Linked DNA regions of Mus musculus. The protein of the gene in region 3 interacts with the protein of the main gene of each other region in a pairwise test. Links are inferred from orthologs where the notes say so. Each region holds a gene or a part of one and is shown on either strand. Other genes may lie near its edges.

Region 1 (7,271 bases), on a different chromosome or scaffold from region 3:
CCCTGCGTCTTAGAACAGCAGTCAATAAACTATCTAGAGATGAAGAACAGACCCAGAAACTGGTTACATCTATTGAATTTCTGGCAATTTTAGGAGCAGTTGGTAAGGAAGGATCCAAGGGGCTAGGGAAAAGAGCCCACTGATGTCCTTACTCACCACTCATATGACATGGTGACACGGGTGTTACCTTCTTTGCGCTCTCACAAAACCCATGAGTCTCCCCCCCCCCCGAAAAAGCATCTTACTACGTAGCCCAGGCTAGCCCAGAGCTTTAATCCAACTTCCTCTGGCTCATGAATTCCACATTTAACCCAAGCACCCCCACCCCAGACAATTCAACTGGAAGAGTCAGGTAGGAGAAGATGAAGGCATTTGTATTCGATTCCTCGCAGCTGAGGGACTCAAAAAGAGAGGAGTCAAAAAGGACTCAAAAACTCAGCACAGCCGTTCTACCCATGACCCAGAGCCCATGTCGGTCCGACAAGGGAGCCCTGATGATCTGGTTCAGCACTGAGCTCAGATCTCCTAGGTGCTCATTTGATTCCACCTGAGGCTGGCCAGAGACCATTGTGAGTGTGCAGTGCCATGTCCTGGAATGGTGTGTGTGAAGCCTGGAATTTTCCAAATTGCTCCAGCTCAATCTACACATTTCTCAGTTGATCATTACAAAGGATATGGCCGAGAGGAGTCCTTCCCTTGGCACAGTTAAACGCAGAGGTGAGGTTGCTTCACTGTTTTTGTAGGAGTGTCCTATGTGCAGATAGAGTGCATGTCAGAAGAGGGCATCAGATACCATTATAAAAGATTATGAGCAGCCATGTGGTAGCTGAAACCAAGGACCAGAAGTCCTTGAACTCAGGACCTCTGGAAGAGCAGCCAGTACTCTTAACCACGGAGTCACCTCTCCAGCCCGCAGAAATCTTTTTGAGTTGGTTTGAGGAAGTCATTTCAGCTCTCAGCAATACAGTACCATACAGCACTAGCAGGCTGTTGTTATCAGCTATTGTTGAGAGGATCTGGGGGTAAAAGGCCTGCCACTGTTAGTTGTAAAGGGCATGTTCAACGACACAGATTCATCTCAAGATCTACAGTGGTATCGTTAGCGCTGGCAAGCTGTACCGAAATAAAACCGCTCCACGGCAGTACTGCGAGTTAGTACCATAGTCTGCCAATGGGACCTGAGGCACTTACTGTGCCTTTAATATCTCTGGAGTGACAGGGGCAATGCAAGGTATCCTGTGGCTCCCTCCTCACAACTTCAACTTCTGGGAAATGTCACAAGCTGGACTGGTGGTGGCCCGGGCACCAGAGGCTTAGTATATTTTGTGTTTACAGTGTGATGACTGATAATGTTTTCTGTTTGCCACAGTGACAGATCAGGCAGACATGGAGACAATCCCAGAAGAGCCAATAACAGTGAATTAAGATCAGAAGCCCCCGCACAGCCTCCTTAGAGAATGAGCATCTACTTAACTGATACACAACTCCTGGGTAATGTAAAACACTGTTGTCTATAGCCGAAAGTTGTTGGAAGGGCTCTGCTACTGACATTCTCTGCTTCACACTGCGAAAGTGTATGACTCAGATACTATACTGTGCCATTTTTCTTTGTTCTCACAGATACCCACCTACCTCTGCCTCCTGAGTAATGGGATTAAAGACACGTGCCACTATGTCTAGCTATGTTTATTTTTATGTTTGTGTATGTTTTGCTGCATGCAAGCCTGTGCACTATGTGCATGTCTGACGCCCTTAGAGGTCAGAAGAGGGTGTGTGATCCCTGGAACTGCAGTTCTGCATCGTGTGAGGCATCATGTGGAATGTGGGCACCGAACCCATGTCCTCAAGAGCCATTAGTGCTGTTAAGAACTGAGCCATTGGGGGCTGGCGAGATGGCTCAGTGGCTAAAAGTGCCGTTTGCTCTTTCGAAGGTCCCGAGTTCAAATCCCAGCAACCACATGCTGGCTCACAACCATCCTTAACGAAATCTGATGCCCTCTTCTGGAGTATCTGAGGACAGCTACAGTGTACTTACATATAATAAATAAATAAATCTTAAAAAAAAAAAAAAGACGTGGGCTGGTGAGATGGCTCAGCGGGTAAGAGCACCTGACTGCTCTTCCAAAGGTCCGGAGTTCAAATCCCAGCAACCACATGTTGGCTCACAACCATCTGTAACAAGATCTGACGTCCTCTTCTGGAATGTCTGAAGACAAGTACAGTGTACTTACATATAATAAATAAATTTAAAAAAAAAAAAAAAGAGCGCAGACTGCTCTTCCTAAGGTCCTGAGTTCAAGTCCCAGCAACCACATGGTGGCTCACAACCACACGTAATGAGATCTGATTCCCTCTTCTGGAGTGTCTGAAGACAGCTACAGTGTACTTACATATAATAAATAAATAAATATTTTTAAAAAAGAACTGAGCCATCTTTCTACCCCCTTCTTCCTCCTCCTCCTCCTCTTATTTATTTTATGCATGTGAGTATATGGTAGCTATTTCCAGACACCCCAGAAAAGGGTGTCTTAGCCCTTTTACAGATGGTTGTGAGCCACCATGTGGTTGCTGGGAATTAAACTCAGGAGCTCTGGAAGAGCAGCCAGGGCTCTTAACCGATGAGCCATCTCTCCAGCCCTTGGTCTTTTAATTACTTGGTGCTCTTGCAAAGAACCCAGGATTATGAGGAGCACTGGTCCTTGATTTGTAACCCACTCGAGTATAAGCCATTTTCACCAGCAGGCCCTACAGTCCTCTGAGAGGAGAGAATGCCTCCGTAAGATCTGGTGGGCTCTCCTGTAGAGCACTTTCTAACCAGTGATCAGTGGGGGAGGGTCAAGCCCATTGTAGGTGGGGTCATCCTTGGGCTGCTGCTCTTGGGTTCTGTAACAAAGCAGGCTGAGCAAGCCATGAGGAGCAAGCCAGTAAGCAGCACTCCTCCATGGCCTCCAGCTTCCTGCCCTGCTTGAGTTCCTGCTTTTGATGAACATGTTATATGGAACCATGAGTGAAACAAACCTTTTCTTTTCTTTTCTTTTCTTTTTTTTTGGCTTTTCGAGACAGGGTTTCTCTGTGTAGCCCTGGCTGTCCTGGAACTCGCTCTGTAGACCAGGCTGGCCTCGAACTCAGAAATTCGCCTGCTTCTGCCTCCCAAGTGCTGGGATTAAAGGCATGAGCCACCATGCCCGGCGAAACAAACCTTTTCCTCCCCAAGTTATTTTTGGTCATGGTGTTAATCCCAGCTATACTAGTCCTAACTAAGACAGCAGGCTTACATCAGTTCTAGGCATTGGTAGAAGGTGGACAGAGGACACCCAACACGCAAACAGGGAGGAGTGTTGAAATAGGCAGAAAACGACCTCAGTGTAGCTAGCCTAGTTTGAAAGATTTAGAGAACTTTTTATTGCAGTGACTGTTGGGCAGATGTCATGGTCCTGCCCATCTCCTGCTTCCCCTGTGTGGAAAGACAACCCTGAGGGAATCGGGTATTTCACAGACCTAAGGGCCACTTTATCTGAGGCAAGTAGAAATGGAGACTCTGAAAAGCCACACCCGAGTACTGAAGCGTTACCAGGGAGACGGTGGTACCCAACCATAGCTCTGGCCACCAGCCGAGCCCGTAGGTCAGGGTCAAATGTGCAGCAGACACGCCCCCCCTTTGACTAAAGCGCCAGGAAGACCGTGTAAGCGTCACTTCCGCCCTCAGCTACCACATGTGGGAGGCGGGGCCGTAGTGGGGGCGCATCTTATTTGGATCACTTCCGGTGAGCCCAGCAGTGACCACGGCAACATGGCCTTGAACGGTGCAGGTATGCGCTTGGGATGTTTGGGCAGTGGCCGTGGGGTGCGGGAGGCAGCTCTCTCTATCTCCTGTGCCTGTTTTCTCTAGATGTCGACGATTTCACCTGGGAGCCTCCGACTGAAGCTGAGACGAAGGTGCTGCAGGCGCGACGGGAGCGGCAGGATCGCATCTCCCGTCTGATGGGGGACTACCTGCTCCGTGGTTACCGCATGCTGGGCGACACGTGCGCCGACTGCGGGGTGAGGCGAGTGATGAGGCCGAGGCCGCGGACCGGGCCGCACGACCTTTCCTCAGCTCCCTCTTCTGTGAACCCTGTCTCTCCGGCTCACCTATGTCCATGTACTTTCTGGTCCCCAGACGATCCTCCTGCAAGATAAACAGCGGAAAATCTACTGTGTGGCTTGTCAGGAGCTCGACTCAGACGTGGATAAAGATAACCCGGGTGAGGGTCCGAGTGTGCACTGTGGGGAGAAGAGAGTGGCGATAGCTACAGAGGAACTGTGAGCCTGGGAGGTGACAGTGGAAACTCCTGCGTGCTGTGGCATTAAGGTGCCTTCTCGTTTCCGCCCTAGAGAGGTGTTTCATTCAAGAAAGACCATCAGCCTTTTGTTTCTGACACCGTGGGGAGAGTCCTAGCAAAATAGTCATCCTACGTTGTAGAGTGCACGTGCAACCCTGGGTGCTTGTGCATGTTGGACAGGCATTTTACCACTGAAGGGCGGGCATCCCAGTTTACAGGAATAGACTTGATGCATAGATGAGGCCAGGCCATCTGTCAAGCAACTGGACCTCAAGTGTAAATCAGTGGGGCAGTGTTTGGCAAGCATGTGTAAGGAGAAAGAAGAGTAGAGATGAGATGGGATTGGCTTAGGCAGAAAACACCAGCAGCTCAGGGACATCAGTAAAGAGCACATGACTCGGGAGAGGCGGACGGGGCACCCTCACTCTTCCACCACTTTTCTTGTTCTAGCACTGAATGCACAGGCGGCGCTCTCTCAAGCTCGGGAACACCAGCTGGCCTCATCTACAGAGCCTGCCTCGAGCTCTCGGCCCCCATCCCAGCCACCAGTACCCCGTCCAGAGCACTGTGAAGGCGCAGCAGCCGGGCTCAAGGCAGCCCAGGCGCCTCCTCTTCCGGCTGCACCTCCAAATACGGACGCGGTGGCTTCCACACAGACGGCCCTCCTGCAGAAGCTAACCTGGGCGTCAGTCGAGCTGGGCTCTAGCACCTCCTTGGAGACTAGTATCCAGCTCTGTGGGCTTATCCGGGCTTGCGCCGAGGCCCTAGGCAGCCTGAAACAGCTGGATCACTGAGACCTCTATCCTGATCCCTGTTCCCCTGAGAAAAACCCTCCAGAAAAACAGTTTTTCCTCCGCGTGGTTTGTTCTTTCTTGGTTCTGAGTGTGCATGTGAGCCCCAGTTCTCCTCGATGGTTTTCCTTGCTTTTGGCATCTCACCTTTCCATGGTCTTTTCTACCTGAATGGTGAAGTTCTGCATTCAGGACAAGAAGTAAATGGCAGAGGGATAAGTGACACCTTATTCCAAGGACTGACCTCAGTCTTCCCAAAGGCTGGGCCACTAATCATTGTCTCTGACCCAGTACCCCCTTTCCTCCACTTGAGTGCCATTTGAAGTTTCAGTCCCTTTGGTGGCTTCCTTTCCTTCCTTTAACCATCCTGACTCTACCATCTTTCTCCATCTTCTGGCTGCTAGGATGTTGACAAATTGTGGGGAGGGGCAGTGATGCACTGTAAGAGTCAGGCACAGTCTTACCTTCCTACCCCAGACTCGGGCCTCCCACATCCCCGTGCTTTTAGAATCCTTCCCTTGGGAGAGGACACATTGTATAGGAATGAGGCAGCAAAAGGTCGCCAAAAAACCGTTTCTGACCCTTTCGGCCTCCCCTGTCCCATCCAGTTCTTTGATGGGTTTTTCGCTCCAGGGTCATCGCCGCGTTAAGAGAGGCCCCGCCCATGCAGGGGGGTGGAGCATAGGCGGAGTCCTAGGAGTCGGGGACGGAACAAAGCACGGCCTGCGGGCGGTGGCTGAGATCTCTCCGGAGACCGGGCCACGGAGAGCTGGTTCTCTGGGCAACAGCCCGCTGAAAACGTAAGAGGGGTCCAGGCGGCATCGTGGTCCACGCCTGCCTGGCTATGAACGGGCTGCCCGCGACTGAGGCGCCGGGCGGCGCGGGCTGCGCTCTGGCCGGGCTCCCGCCGCTACCGCGCGGCCTCAGCGGCCTTCTTAACGCTAGTGGGGGCTCGTGGAGGGAGCTGGAGCGTGTCTACAGCCAACGGAGCCGCATCCACGACGAACTGAGTCGTGCCGCCCGCGCCCCGGATGGTCCTCGCCATGCCGCTGGATCTGCTAACTCAGGTTCTGCAGCGGGCCCGCGCCGCCCGGTTAACCTCGACTCTGCACTAGCCGCGCTGCGCAAGGAGATGGTGAGTAGGTGGGCGCCTCGCCAGGGTAGTAGCTCTGAAGAGGGCAGAAATAAGTCTGGGATCCGCTTCCTCATCTCAGGTCCAGCAGGAAGCATCTGGTCACGGGGCTTTAGGACAGCACTGATAGTAATGTGTAGCAATTGTTGCATTTTTAAAAACTTGCCTGATTTCATCTTGCTGGACAATGTTACCCCATTGTATAAATGAGGGCCAAGGACTGGCTGGAAGGTTTCACAGTTGGCAAGTACCATCTGTTCTCAGAACTTTCACTTAAAGGTGCAGGAAGATTGGATAGGGTTGTCGTCCACGGTGGGAATTCTGGGGGTGGCCCGGACCCCCAACTCCAGCCCACTGTCAGTTGTCTGTAGGTGGGGCTGCGACAGCTGGATATGTCCCTGTTGTGCCAGCTGTGGGGCCTGTACGAGTCGATCCAGGACTACAAGCATCTGTGCCAAGACCTGAGCTTGTGCCAGGACCTGTCATCCTCTCTGCACTCGGACAGCTCCTACCCACCTGATGCCGGCCTGTCTGATGACGAGGAGCCTCCTGATGCCAGCCTGCCCCCAGACCCTCCACCCCTCACCGTACCCCAGACTCACAATGCCCGTGACCAGTGGTTGCAGGATGCTTTCCAAATCAGCCTTTGAAAGCTGAGGTGGATAGGAACGCACCCATACAAAAGGCTCAAAACTTGCCCTTCAGCAAGTCCTTAGTCTACAGTGCCTGCTCTTTTACCGGTACCACCTCACCTCACTTCAGGAGGGCAAGGCATTATACCCATCAGGCAAAGCGGTCAAGATTGCAGCCTGTGCCCAGTGTCCTGGGCTTCCACTTCTCCCACATGTGTGCACCCTAGCTTGGCCAGCCCTTAGTCTGACTGTGGGGCCCAAAGCGTCTTGCACTCCCGTTTGCATCTCTGGGACTGGGATGAGTGCCTAGCTCTCATCTCTTTTTCGTCTTTTGCTGCCTCTTGCAGCTGCTGGCTCAGCGGCATCCCTACCAGTGGCCCCAGGGGTTCATTGC
Region 2 (7,044 bases), on a different chromosome or scaffold from region 3:
CAACTGCTCTAAGCACAACGGGCTTGACGCTGTTCCCACGCCCCCATCCCCCCAGTAGGATGTGGAGTGTGAGCCTGTATCCTTGGCCCCAGGCAGCAAGGGCTAGACAGCTCCATGTTCTTCCAAGGACCCAAAGGGAGCAGGGTCAGACCTGGGGAGATCAGCTTCGTCCAGCATAGCGTCTGCTCACCTGCTGCCCACTCCCTTTTGTAAAAGAAATAAAGACCTCCCCCCTTCATCTTGCCATTGCCTGGAGTGTTTGAGCCACTTTCCTTTGGGGTGCTGGGTGGGGCCTGCTGTGAGTGTATAAGAACAACCGCCTTGTACCCCAGCATGGGAGGGTGGGGACTTGGAGAATGCCAATCCCAGGAGGGGGCTGCCAATCTCCTGTTACCAGTGGGGAGACCAAAGCCCAGGGGCAGGAAGGGACCTGCCCAAGGCCTCTATAAGTCAGCTGGAATGCAGCTCTGCGTGCTGACCTCATTCTGCTCTGTTTCCATAAATTCCACCCTGTCTGGTACCCTAGACGGTCACAGCAGAGGGGGCTACTTCGAACAGCATTGCCTTGGAAGAAAAAGGCAAACAGCTGAATCACTTAGGCGTCCTCTGCTGTCCCTTCCCAAAGGCAATGGATGCACAGCTCTGAGCCTCGTAACAGGACTCAGCTCACAACCAACCACAAACCCCTCTGGTCAGACTGTTGAATTTGATCCTCCCAAAGGCAGAAATGACCTAGGAAGTTACTAGAAAAGAAAAGGTTTTGCCAGTTGTGGTCTATTCTTTCTAACTCTTTTTTTTTTTTTTTTTTTTTGTTTGTTTTTTGTTTTTCAAGACAGGGTTTCTCTGTGTCGCCCTGGCTGTCCTGGAACTCACTCTGTAGACCAGGCTGGCCTCGAACTCAGAAATCCGCCTGCCTCTGCCTCCCGAGTGCTGGGATTAAAGGCGTGCACCACCACACCCGGCCTCTTTCTAACTCTTAATAAGAATCCCTCTTGCTGAGATCGGATGCTCCAGAAAGGATGAAGAACACCGCACAGACACACAACAGAGACACACAGACACACACACACACTGGACCTTGTCTCCTGTCCTGCTGACTCAGGCAGCTGCTTTGGAGTCCCATGCTTTGCCAGGGCCTGCTGCCTCCTGCCTGCCTGGGCTTCTGGACTTGGGAAGTAGAAGCCTGGAGGCAAAGGGAGGCAACTGAAGCAGGAACTGAGTCAGGATATGCAGGCCGGAGCTGGCAGGGGTGTCAAGGCCTGGCTTCGGTGGAGGAGGAAGAGGGTCTAGAACTGAGCTGCAGCTGTAAACCCCCACCAGCTTCCTGGCTTAAGAGGCACGAGGAGAACACGCCCTTCGTAGGCTTAGAAGAAGTTTCAAGTTTGCCAAGCCCCACCGTCCAGACTCCTAGTGTCCTGGGGTTTCCAAGTTGCCCCCAGGACTTGGGGAAGCCCAGGCCAGGCTGAGAGCCAAGGAAGGCCCTTCAAGGCTGAGGAGAATTCTCCCAACGGAAAGGGAGGAGACAATGCTTACTGTGCCAAACAGTTTGTCAGTCTGGAGAGGAAAGAGTTTGGACTGAGGACCCCGACTCTTCTGTGGACACCCGGCTGGGCCACGGGGTGCGGAGAGTTTAGGATCTTTCCTCATCCCATAGAACCCAGCTCAAACCCCAAAACAGGGAGGGGGTTGCTGAGGATATATTCAGTCGGTAGAGTTCTTGGAAACCCTGGGTATAACCCCGGCACCGCTGCTAAAGCAAACATGGTGGCAGTCCATATATAGACCAGACTGGGCTAGAACTCAGAGAGATACTTGCTTCTGCCTGTTAAGTGTTAGGATTACAGATGTGCACCTGTCTATACAGGACTGGGGAGCAAACTCCATACACACTAGCAGGGACTCTACCAACCAAGACACACTCCCAGCCTCTGCTTTTCCCCAGGGTGGGGGTAACATGTTTCCCTTGTGGCAAAGCCAGTCACCAACTGGCATGTCCCCTGTGTGAGTTTAAATGCTCAGACTCTAGCCGTACACTACCGTGGTCTTCCCTAACTTGATGTTTTACTGTAGTTCTGTGCCTGTGCCATGAGTTAGGCAAAGCACGCAAGATCTCAGGACAGAAATCCCATCTGCTTCCTGGGAGAACCTGTAAAATTAGCCAGGACCCTGAAGTCTCTCAAGAGCCCCTACTCCGTGGCCCAAGCACATTCCAGCCTGTTCAGGGTTCTGGCCTACAACACCTCTCCCGGAGGCAAGGCGAGTGCTCAGACACTGTGAGGAGACAGGCAAGGTTGTGCAATAGTCCTGCTTCAAGGGTTAGACTGGCTGGGTCCTAGGAAGAAACTTCTTTAGAAGGAACCACGGAGTCCCATCTAAACTTGAAGAATGTGGTGGGGCACATAAGCAGGAACACACCCTCAGTGCCCATTCTTATCATGGGCCTTGAAAATAGGGCCCAACCAATCAGGGATGGAAGATTGGGAACAAAGTGATCTCCATCTCCAAGGAGACTTCTCTCAGGGGTCAGAGGCAGAGTCTTGAAGGGACTTGAGAACCTCTGGGAGCCAAGTGAGGGATCATACTGGGCTGGAATCACACACTGCGCCATAAAACAAAATGGAATGTGCCATTCCCAGCTCCTTTCCCTCAGCCCTGTCTTCCTCCCCAGGTTGATAGCGTCCCCCCTGGGGGACCAAACTGGACTGAGCACCCAGGTGGCCTGCTTCCCAGCCTCTGACAGAGGTAATCTGAGTCAGGCAGGGGAGTGGGACAGTCAAAGAGTTAGGCCCCCACCCTCTGGGAACCCTGCCGATACATGACGACAGGCAGCTTGGAAGGGACGGGTGACCCGATGTGGAGAACCAGAGAGTAAAGTCTCAGACAAGTGTCAACAGGCCACCAACTTGAAAGGGAAAATTGTGCTGTAAGGGGGAAGGTGTCCAACAAACATATTGGGTGACTAATTACAAAGGCTGGGCTGGAGCGTCAGAGGCCGCTCGTTAAACACTTCATTAAGTGGCACCCTGAGATGCCACCTGCGCATCTGGGGTGTTCATAGGGCATCTTGAGGGAGAACAAGGACCAAGGGATGGAGCTATCTTCAGGCCGGCTCAGCTAATGGCCCCCAAAGAGAGCCAAGAGGAAGAGGGGACACGGAGGGGGAGGGGTTTAAGGGAGCTGGCAGCTTGTGACCTCAAACTGGTTTGGTTCACCCCTGAGACTTGATAGTTCTACCTCTACAGTCCTACAGAGCCAATTCGGGGGTTGGGGGTAGTTGCATCAGATCATGGATGCGCAAGTTTGGGGGAAACTGTACAGCCCTACCTATACATGAGTTCTCACCTGAACTGTCCCAGCTCCCTGGGCTCTGCCTGGGCTAAAGCAGCTCGGTGGCTGAAGCCTGGAAGATCACCCTGAAAGACAATCTGATTTGGTAATCCAAGACGCTCCTGCAATGCAGCCAGCCCTGAACTGCAGGGGGCAGTCTGGAGCCGAAAGGTGCCTTTGCAGGTGGGACCTGCGGCCAGGTTTCTCCTGCTGACTGTCCTGGTGACTCACAGCCCCCTCCCGTCCCAGCCCTTTTACCTTAAAGGTAGAGCCGGAAAGGGTGTGGCGAAGACTAGGAGGAGGCAGGGCCCAGGCCCGCTCAGACCACGCCCAACTCTTCTCAGGGCCATGCCACCCCAGCCAAAAGGCAGAGCCAGAGCAAGGGAGCCGCAGAACCCAGCGTTACTCTCGAGACAGCCAGTTCGCCCGTCTGTCTGTCCATCCTCGCAGTCATGGAGAGAGCCAGTCTGATCCAGAAGGCCAAGTTGGCTGAACAGGCCGAACGGTATGAAGACATGGCAGCTTTCATGAAGAGCGCCGTGGAAAAGGGCGAGGAGCTCTCCTGCGAGGAGCGAAACCTGCTTTCCGTAGCTTACAAGAACGTGGTGGGCGGCCAGAGAGCGGCCTGGAGGGTCCTGTCCAGCATCGAGCAGAAGAGCAACGAGGAGGGGTCAGAAGAGAAGGGCCCCGAGGTGAAAGAGTACCGGGAGAAGGTAGAGACCGAGCTCAGAGGTGTGTGCGACACCGTACTCGGCCTGCTGGACTCGCACCTCATCAAAGGGGCTGGAGATGCAGAGAGCCGCGTCTTCTACCTGAAGATGAAGGGTGACTACTACCGCTACCTAGCCGAGGTGGCCACTGGCGATGACAAGAAGCGCATCATCGATTCTGCCCGGTCAGCCTACCAGGAGGCCATGGACATCAGCAAGAAGGAGATGCCGCCTACCAACCCCATCCGCCTGGGCCTGGCCCTGAACTTTTCAGTCTTCCACTACGAGATAGCCAACAGCCCCGAGGAGGCCATCTCGCTGGCCAAGACCACCTTCGACGAGGCCATGGCCGACCTGCACACCCTCAGTGAGGACTCCTACAAGGACAGCACCCTCATCATGCAGCTCCTGAGAGACAACCTGACGCTGTGGACAGCCGACAGTGCTGGGGAAGAGGGTGGTGAGGCTCCGGAGGAGCCCCAGAGCTGAAGCAGCCGACAACCACCCCGGCTCGCCTTGCCCTCCAGTCCCCAGCCTGCAGAGAGGACTAAAACGGAGTGGGACTCTGCCCTTCCCAAACCCTGAATGTTCAGCCACACCTTGGAAGGCTCCTTTGAAGGGGGCGCAGCCAAGCTGAAGCCACCAGGGCAGGGAATCTCACTCTTCGTGTAGCTGTCTGGTGGGTGTTCCCAACCCATCCCACCCCTGCTCTCTGCACCCCCTCCCCACTTCCTCCCCCTGAGCCTCCCTCGGGCACCTGTTGCTTCTGGATCCGAATAATCCAGGAGGCTCCCCACCCTGTGGCTGAGAACTGGACTGTGGCAAGGGCTGTGTGTGTGAGAGAGAGGGAAACTCTGTGTGTGTGTGTGTGAGAGAGAGAGAGAGAGTGAATGAGAGGGAACACGTTTGCTGGGTGTGACCATGCTACCACTCAATAAAGTTGCCCTGTGACACTCGGTCTTCTTCAGTTATTGGCCATGGGTTGAGAGTAGAATTAGAAATGAGTTAAGAGAACCGGACTCTGAAACTCTGAGCTAGGTCTGTCCCTTGGGGCTGTCTGGGTGACCTGGAAGTGAGACGAGCCTTTGGGTCGGTGTCGGTGACCTGGAAATTTTGGGTAGGGTGACTTCAGGTGAGAGGCCACCAGGAAGTCCCCGCAGCGCTTCGGCTCAGGCCAGGTGAGCACAGAGGCAGGTCAGGAGAGCAGAGGAGAGTGGGGGCTGTAGGCGGGAAAGCCGCGAAGTCAGGGAAGTTTGGGCACAGTGGCCTTAAGAGACACGCTTCACAAGTGGCACTGGGGACCTCACTTTAAGAAGCGGGAAACGGTCACGTCAAGTGCTCAGATCTGAGCCGAGGGGTGCAATCTGAGGCAGGGGCATAGTGCCTCCAATAAAACAGATCAAATAAGGGAAAGCTCCCCAAGGCCCAGGGACAAAAAGAAATCGGCTGAAGAGGAGCGGGCGCGAGCTGGGTGGGAAGAGCCGCAGGGAGCTGGGCTGAGCAGCCCACGGCCTGCGCGCCCGGCAGGCAGCGACACGCACCAGCCCGGGGCAGCCCGCCGCCGTCTCCACGGCCCAATCACTGGACGGACTCTCTACAGAGCCCGTCCCCGGGACACGGTTGACCAATGGGAGAGCGAAGGGTGAGTCCTCCCGCCCCGTCGGCCGCGCTACCCTTCTGGAAAAGACGAAGAAGTTGCGGCTCGGGGAGCGCAGCGGGGCGGCGCCTTCCCGGTTTCACTCAGACAAGTTGCCACCCGCCCGACTCGGGAGCTCGTCCCCCACCCCCGGGAGCAGCGGGACAGGGCGGGGCCGCGCGCAAAACTTAGTCTCCGCCCTTTGAGTCATCCACTCACCTGGCCATGTCTGGACCAGGCTGCCGGCTGAAATCGGCTGGAAAAAGGCCAAAATGCTCGTCTCCCGAGCTTCGGAGGCAGACCTGCGCTGGTCGCCAGCAGGCTTGGGTTGTATCCCTGACTTGATTTGTAGTCCGGAAAAAATCATAGCACCTCCCAGGACCTCAGTTTCTCTTCTGCATCGCTAAAGGTTCCACAGTTAGAAAAAGTAAAAAGCGGGGTTCTACTAAGGTGCAAGGTTTCAGCCTCCTTGCTTGAGGCTCTCAACTTTTGGGTCCTCCTTTGAATAAGTTGCTTCCTAGGCCCGGAAGGGTGGCGGATGCCTTTAACCTGAGCACTCTGAGGCAGGGTGGACCCTTCCCGGGAGCTAGGGTGTGGCTCAGTTTATCTAATGTCCAAGGACAGGTCCCCCGTGCCTAAAAATAAAAAACAAAGTGATTAAGTAAACGAAGGACAAGACTGGGTGGGAGTTGGGAGTGAAACCTTCAAAATGTTACTAATTCCAACCAGTGTCAATCCATCTGGGATTTATCTAGTATTTCTGAACCCAAATCCGAATAAGCAAGCCTCAGGCTCAGTCACTGTCAAAGTTGACCTGGGTGCTCACCTAAGAAGGCTGCCTAGCTTGGCAGCAAGAGAACTTTCTGGAAGGATTAAGGGAACTCAGGTCAAATTTACTGGGTTCTCCAGAGTCCACGTTTGGCCACACCCATAGTACTCTGCTCTTGTTACCGCCCATAATTCTTCAGAGAAGTTACTGGGCCTCTTTGGAGCATTCAGGGTCCTGTTTTTTCACTTCCTGGTGATGTGTTGGGTTTCAAGGTTCCAAAGTCACACAAGAGTCTGGACTAGGGCAGGCAACTCCCCTCAGCTCAGGAGGTGACCCGGTTTCTTTCCACTAGACTGGTCTGGTGACTTTCTCTTAATGGGGTAGGTCCTGGGAAAGGAACTTCTGTGTCTCTCAGCCAGCGTCTGCCTGCTGTGTGTTGGCTCCAGACCATGTATGAGAGGATGGGAGCTGTCCTAAGGTACTGTGCTGGCCTTAAGGGTAATCAAGGGGAGAGGCCCTCAGCGGCAGGTCATGAAGCCGGCTGTGTATTAGCACCGGATCACAGCTGGCTAAGGCTGTAGGTTTGTACCAAAGTGGTCTCA
Region 3 (7,444 bases):
GGTAATTCACACCATCATGTCTCCTTTGCTCTTGCCAAAAAGAAAAAAATAGAGAAAGAAAAAAAATAGCACACTTTCCCACATTCCAGTGATGTGTGAGCTATGCAAGCAAAAACCCAAGATTCTGCTGAAGAGCAACTGCCAGCACCTTTGTAAGCTATCTGTGCAGAATATTGCGCACTTTTTCCACATGGAATCTCTACCAAACTCTGAGCCTTGGTGTACCCTTAACAACAACAAAAATGCTATGACTGACTGTGTCTTGAACTTTGAAAATATATTTTCAGTATATCCAATTGCCAAAGTTTTGCTGTCTCTTGGAAAAGGAACTATGAAATCAACTGACAAGGAAACGCATTCTATAGACAACAGAATTTAACTGGATCGCAGACAGTTATTACTGTAATTTCTTCTTTATGAACATGACCATTTGACTGTTCACTGACTTTCTTTGTATTTACAGTTTCCAGAGTTTGACATTATAATAGGAACAATCTTGCTGTATACTTTTTAAAAATACTGTGCTATTCTTTCTGGAACTGTTGAAAGACAATATATAAAATCGATGAATCTATTGCTCATCAGCTTTATTTTTTAAACATACCACTTATTTTGTTGGAATTGTCAAAGACTGTATTTAGATCTCATGCTTTTGTTAAAATGTTTACAACAGTAAATAGTTTAAATTCAATAAATATTATTGGTCATTGTACCAATTATTGCATGTTACCCATTTGACCATTTTATAGATTGCTGATGTCTTTTATGTTTAAACGAAGTGCTAGAATACTTTTGTCACTTCTAAGATGGTTTTTGTTATCTTTGATTATGCAGATAACCTAATCAGCCACTTAACAACTTACACATCTTTTAATTTGTACTTGTTTTACCTGCTGGATATTTAGTTTGTATAGTTCATTTGCTCTTGTGTATGTATTTTTGTGTGAAGTATTCACAAGGGTTAAGTTAAAATAAACTAAGGGATAGCTTGCATAACTGATTAGCTTACTATTTAACTTTATTATAATTTTCTTCCCACTATAGGGATAGTTCAAGCTTTAATATCAGAGCAAAATCAGGGTTATTTTTATTGTTTCTTTCACAAAGGAGTCCATTTATTTACTCAATATACAACTTGTTAATTGAAGACCGGATTTAAAAACAGTATGTAGCAGAGGATTCTTAGTGATCAAAATAGGTTTGTTGTTTTCTTTTTTTAAAGAACCACCAAGGGAGGTACTAAGGAAGGTATTAATAAAGTTTTCTCAATAAAAATATTTTTCTGAAGGCCTAGATCCATAAAGCATTCGATTGTATTTCTCAAGAGATATTGTATACAAGGAAAAATGTTAAGTAATCAAGGTCTATTTCCCTTTGCTGAGGATCAAACTGAGAGGCCTAAATTGTATTCTTTAGAATATTATTGAGAGATTTCCCTAGCTTACATATAGGGCTGAATGCTACCATAAAGGTAAATTTACTCTCCTCACATAGTTTCAATCAAGTTAACGGTGGTAACAAAACAACAACAACAAAACCTGCTTCTTGGCTTTGTTGTCAATGCAGTTCCCATTGTTGATGTTGACAGTAACTCATCTCTGTCCTTAGTTTATAACGTGGAAAGGCTACAGACAAATTAATGTAAATATGGACTTTGGCAAACAGGGAGAGATCCGGACTCTAAGGCATTTTAGTTTGTCCTCACTGACTGTGAGTGTTCGGCCATGACAGCCTATTTGCCAATTTTTTTTTTTTAAGCCTGAAATGCTTCTCCCTTTTCTACCATTTATTTTAAAAGAAATCTGACTTATCCTCATTTTTGTATTATAGTGACATGCTCTGTCTTTTAAATTGGAGTGGGAAACGTGTTATTTACCTTCTTAGGCCCTGTAGTAACTAGGTGGTCAGTGATGAAATAAAATCTTTCAAACCTATTTTTAATGGGGATGGATAGGAAATTTTCAGAGAAAGATGTGGCCCTTGCTTTAATGCCAAATTTTTAATGATATGAAAGAAAAGCAGACACACTGCGAGCACTTGCAGTTCTGTCTATAGTCTAGCATGTTGTTCTACTTGAACTATACTTGGGCAGAGGAGTGTTCATTTTTACTCTACTTTTATAAAACCCTACAAATAAACTCAAGCCATAAAAATATTAGAGATGAAAATGCACATAGAGTAAACACCATTTACAAAAAAACATAGCTAAAATGCTACCTACCCTCCTGGGAAGTGTATCATGGAATATGTAAGCTAGGTAGATTTAGATTCAAAGTTGATTTTCTCAGAATTTCTTCAAGCCGGTGTTGCAGAAAAAGAAACATCAAAACAAAACACTGGTCTAATATATGCATATCTATCTTTATTTTGGTCTTAACTGTAACACATATTATTAATATACAGCAAATACATACTAGTATGTCAAGCACTGCTGTGACTAATCCCATCAGGAGCAGGCATTATTTTCCCCAATCTGTATTTGGGAAAATAGCACATTGAGGTATATAATTAACTAAAGTCATAGAAAAGTAGAGGCATATGTTTTGGGTTTTTATATTAAGTTATTTAACTTTAAATTTTTGCATATAATTTTTCTACAGATTTCTAGTCACTATAATGCCAACTTTATAAGGATTTACTGAGAGGTAATCATTTAATGATAAAATTGACTATATCATTTACTATGACTTATCTGTAGAAATTTAAGATTTTTTTTTATCTATACTCAAAAATTCTATTTTTATTTAAACCTAGAAGATATCTGTAACTGCATGTAATAAAATTTAGCACCTAAGTACTACGTAAGTGCCCAGTACATTCTCCAGCTTAGTAATGAATCATCAATAGTTCAGTCTACTGGAGAGACATCTGAGAAGCATTTGTAAGGGCTTCTGGAGGATAAAACCTATTTTCTTAACTTTTCAGATGTTTACCTATTGTTCAGGTTTTTTTTTTTTCTAGTATAATGCTTCTAAATGGAAAGGTTTGTTTATTATAGTTTGTCTAAAACAATACAAGGAAGTGTAGCACAGTCTGACTTTGTCTACCACAGGAGGACATGGTTTGCAACTAATCCTAGTGGATTATGAATATTCAAACTAGGTGGCATTCACCCCTTTTGAAGCTATATGTTATATAAAACAATCACAAAGAAAATATATAGAACAACTAGAAAAGTTTAATATATTTTGATGTTTTCACATTGTACTATTTTTTTAAAAAGTAAAATGTCAGACATGCTTCCTACTTCCGTTGGTTAATAAGTACTGCTGCGGTCATTTATTATGGTTAGAGAGAATCTACCAGGTCGTCATCAGTCCATTCCTCCTAAAGGGAAAAGAATGTGGTAAGGGTAACATTGAAGTATTGAGCCATTTGTTGTTTACCTCCCTCCCTTTAAGAAATTGTGGATTGACAACAGTCTACTGTAGATGGGTTTTTTTTTTTTTTTTTGAGATAGTCTCCTATTATGCCTTCAGCCAGCTTTGGATCCTCTATACCTCAAGTGCTAACTACAGGTATGTGCTAAGTCCTGCACTTGACTGTGATAACGACATGGCAGCTGCCCACTCTGTGAGGAGTGAAAAGTTATCCTTTGCCTGTGCTTATTTATCCTTGACTTCTTAAGAGAGAGATTTTAAAACTGGGGTAAGGCAAGGAAAGAATCCTGAGAGAATAGATAAAATTTAGCATCACTGCCTTCTATCGTAGGAAGTTACTTCAGTCAGGTAGCTTACTTTAGAAGTGGTTCAGAGTCATGTGAAAACAGCCCATGCATAGGCTTCCTGATTAGCACCACATAACGAGCAGCTGCCAACGTGCTCCTGCCATGGACTCCATTCCCCCTGAACATAACCCAACATAAATCTTCCCTTTAACGATTTCTTTAAAACTTTTACTGTACATAAACAGGTGAGTAAAAATTTAATAATTTCAAACTTTAGAGGTACTTGTAGTCCTAGTATTCGGTGGGCTCAGGTCAAAAAAGAACTGGGAGTTTAAGACCAACTTGGGCTACAAAGCAAGACACTGTTTTAAACGTTCTCAGCCCCACCTCTCTATAATGCTTATAGTAGTTCAGAACATACACACTAGCTTAGGTCATGCCAGAAAGTGTAAGTTATAGCGAGTTCTCTTCAGGGGAAAACATACCTCTTCCTGTTTGGGTTTCTTTGACACATAGTCATCATCTTCATAGCCTTTCCTCTTCTTCCTATAATTAAGCAAGTATCGATTAGCAAAACTGTTAGTGGCAACAAAACCTATAAAATAAGCTAGCACGGCCATGTGAACATGTGGTAGCCCTCAGCTACAATGACAGTACTCGGACTAAGGCACCAGTATTGCCTTCAGTTCAGTCTAGCATGGGTTAAAAAAATGAGGCCCTATCTTCAAAAACAAAATACATTATGTACTGAAGAGTAGGGACTAGATAGCTGGAAAGGTATTATCTGTGGATACAAAGGCAATATTTAATATTTAATCCAGTGTAGCAAGAACCTACAAAGATGAAAACAACGAAAACGTTGAACATACCCATAAGTCCCAGTTCTTGTGACTCTAAGGAGATTATTGGATAATCATTGGTTACACTGTGATACCTGGCCTCAAGTAAACATAGCAAAGAGAATCTAGAGGGAAAAAATGTTGGAAGACCTTGTCTTGGTTATCATAAAAGCATACTAAAGTGGAGTGCAGTGGTGGCACACACCTGCAGTGCCAACACTCAGGTAGGATAGAATAATTGAGAATCTGAGGCGTCCTAAACCAGACCCTGTTTAGGAACAAATAAAAGGACACACTATAAAAGCTATGGTTATTAAGAATATGGTGTTGTTAATACATCGGCAGTCAAAGCAGGACAGGCAAAACTGGCTCTGCATATCTGGTGACAGACTCAGTGGGGTTAGACACCAAGATGGACAGCCTGGTTTGTTCCCCATGGCTGTATGGAAAGAGGAAAACTGACTCTTTTATGTTGTCCTCTGCTCTCCACACAGGTACTTGCTTATTAAGTACATAACTGAAATACAATAAATGATTTAAAAACTGGATATACCTTTTAATTTTATTTGTGATTAAAAATTGTCAACTAAGAAAACCATGAAATAATACTCAAAAACAAACTAGAAAAACTACAAATATTGGTTAAAAAACAAACAAGCCCCCCAAAGCCTTTACCCTTCCTAAGCATTTCTTTGGCAAAGTAGTGTAAGAAAAAACATAAATAGGATAAACATCTTTTTTAAAAAAGATGTTAATATATAATGTATTACAAGAATAAAATGCCAGAAGCAATGCAGAAAACTTACAAATGGCTATTAAATCTGGAAACATCAATAGTTACAGTAACCAGGGAAATGCAAATGGTCAAGGTGACTCTTATCTTTTTCACCCGGACTGGCAAAAGTTAAAGACTGGCAATGTTAAATGCATGATGTGGACACATTACTACAAACAAGTATTTCATGCATTTCTACAAAGAAAAGGTTGGCAGATGGTAGACCCATCTGGTAAGTGACTTCTGAGATCAAAATCTGTTTGATTAAAGGAAACATTGGTGTTTACTCAGTGGGTGACTTAGAAGAATACAGTAACTGTACAATGAAAAATAAAGGCAGAAATGTTAATGATCAAGGAAAAATAAATGCTTTGTGCTGAAGTACTACTACTTAGTGTTGTTCATGAACTGTTTCCAGCCTGCAGTGAGAGGAGCAGAACAGACACTATGTAGAAACTATACAGCAAATTGACAGTAACTTCTAACTGGTGAATCTAACAGAATTTAAACATATTTTTATGTATATTTCACTTTGGAGAAACTGATTGTATTTTATAATTTTTAAAGTCCTTCTTTTACAAAGAAATATTCAGACACTTACAAGAATGTAGAAATCTTTTTTGGCAGGGTTGGCAAAGCAAATGGCAACTTGGAATAAAATGTAAACTCTATCGATTAGAAATTTCTGGATTATGGCCCATTCCTTTACTAGCTAGAACAGAATTAATAGTCAAATGATCCAACTCTGAGGACAAATTAGTAAATACTTTATAGGCCATGCAGTTTCTGCCATAAGCACTTAACTTTTCTGCCACAGAATGAAAACAGCCACAATAATTATGTAAACCAATAATGGGCATTCTATCTTCCAATAACTGTTCTTTTCAAACTTAATGTAAGAACACAGTCAAGTGCTACAGTCCTTCTACTTACCAATGTGTCAACTTTAATTCTCTACAACCTTCTGATATTTACTAGTTACTACTGAAACCTACCAATTCAAGATTTACATGAAGACATGTTTTGAAGCTATATCTGTAAGACAACCGTCCTATAATTTGCACTCTGCAAGCCCTGGGAATCCTCTACTAAAACTACATTTAAGAAATTAAGCCATGACTATCTTGTGCTGAAGACTTTGGCATACTCTTCAGCTTTTTACACATATTTGTTAGCATTTCTCTAATAAAATAAATAAATAAATAAACATCTATAGCTATCACAGCTAATTCCCATTACATGTTAATAAGTAACAAGATTAGAGTCAATACATATAAAACAAAATCTTTTACTTGTATTATCACATGCTCAAAAATTAAGTTACAATGGATCTTTTATGTAGAGAATATGTATTTTATAGTAAATTCTACATTAGCCTACAAAGCAAGAGACATTAAATATGCTCTTATACTTACACAACCTAACAGAATATTTTACTCGTTCTCTGACACAATGCTTCCTTCCTTACTAGTTTATAAAAATTAAGTCTAAAACAGTACATTTGTTCACCAGAAAATATCAGGTTGGCTAAGAGACAAAGGTTTAACAATTTCATAGGAAGACTGGCTCCCAGTGATCCCATAACGTGGGAAAGCGAGCCAAGCTACACACTAACGATCAGGATCAACCTGTAGGGTGAAAGCCCAACATTCCTTCCTTATGTTTACTTCCACTAGAAATGTGCACATAGGCCAAGCTGGGGATGTGGACAAATAGAGAGCACTTGCCTATGGACAAGGCCCTGAGCTTGCCTCCCAACACAGACAAAATCAGTATACTCAACTTTTTATAAAGTTTGATTTAGGTGCTAAGACTAACAAACTTGTAACAGTGAAATAATTTAACAATTGAACTCAATGACTTTGTGAACATAACTTCTTTATCATGCCTACTTACGTAACCGCATTAAGTGCAAGGTCAGAAGAATGACACCGCTCCAGCTTCTGTTTCAGGACAGCAACCTCGTCAGACCTGGGCGGCTCGTACTTTTTTACTAGATTTCTCATGCCTACATGGGGATACAAACTCTTTTTTAATAAAAACTCAGCTAAATGTGGTGCCACATGCCTCCATCTCTACACTCTGGAGGCAGAAGCAGGTGGAACTGAGTTTGATGCCATCCTGGTCTAGAGTAAGTTCTAAGAAAGCCAGATCTACCCAGGA

What was found.
Region 1: the proteins of Ccnh (region 3) and Znrd2 interact in binary tests that used the Homo sapiens proteins (3 or more experiments, as listed by UniProt). The two-hybrid records come from large-scale screens. The link is inferred for Mus musculus from reciprocal best matches to the Homo sapiens genes CCNH and ZNRD2.
Region 2: the proteins of Ccnh (region 3) and Sfn interact in binary tests that used the Homo sapiens proteins (3 or more experiments, as listed by UniProt). The two-hybrid records come from large-scale screens. The link is inferred for Mus musculus from reciprocal best matches to the Homo sapiens genes CCNH and SFN.

Annotation. Positions count from the first base shown.
Region 1 is NC_000085.6:5,728,214-5,735,484, reverse strand, and holds Znrd2 (protein ZNRD2), read left to right. Parts: upstream 1-3,752; 5' UTR 3,753-3,790; coding exon 3,791-3,809; intron 3,810-3,889; coding exon 3,890-4,041; intron 4,042-4,159; coding exon 4,160-4,244; intron 4,245-4,772; coding exon 4,773-5,116; 3' UTR 5,117-5,179; downstream 5,180-7,271. Other genes in the region: Fam89b (leucine repeat adapter protein 25), read left to right, coding at 5,958-6,248, 6,617-6,895. UniProt on the Homo sapiens protein: Might play a role in mitosis. Antigenic molecule. Could be a centromere-associated protein. May induce anti-centromere antibodies.
Region 2 is NC_000070.6:133,598,505-133,605,548, reverse strand, and holds Sfn (14-3-3 protein sigma), read left to right. Parts: upstream 1-3,380; 5' UTR 3,381-3,779; coding exon 3,780-4,526; 3' UTR 4,527-4,993; downstream 4,994-7,044. UniProt on the Homo sapiens protein: Adapter protein implicated in the regulation of a large spectrum of both general and specialized signaling pathways. Binds to a large number of partners, usually by recognition of a phosphoserine or phosphothreonine motif.
Region 3 is NC_000079.6:85,208,623-85,216,066, reverse strand, and holds the end of Ccnh (cyclin-H), read right to left. Parts: intron 7,290-7,444; coding exon 7,178-7,289; intron 4,214-7,177; coding exon 4,153-4,213; intron 3,328-4,152; coding exon 3,289-3,327; 3' UTR 2,336-3,288; downstream 1-2,335. UniProt on the Homo sapiens protein: Regulates CDK7, the catalytic subunit of the CDK-activating kinase (CAK) enzymatic complex. CAK activates the cyclin-associated kinases CDK1, CDK2, CDK4 and CDK6 by threonine phosphorylation.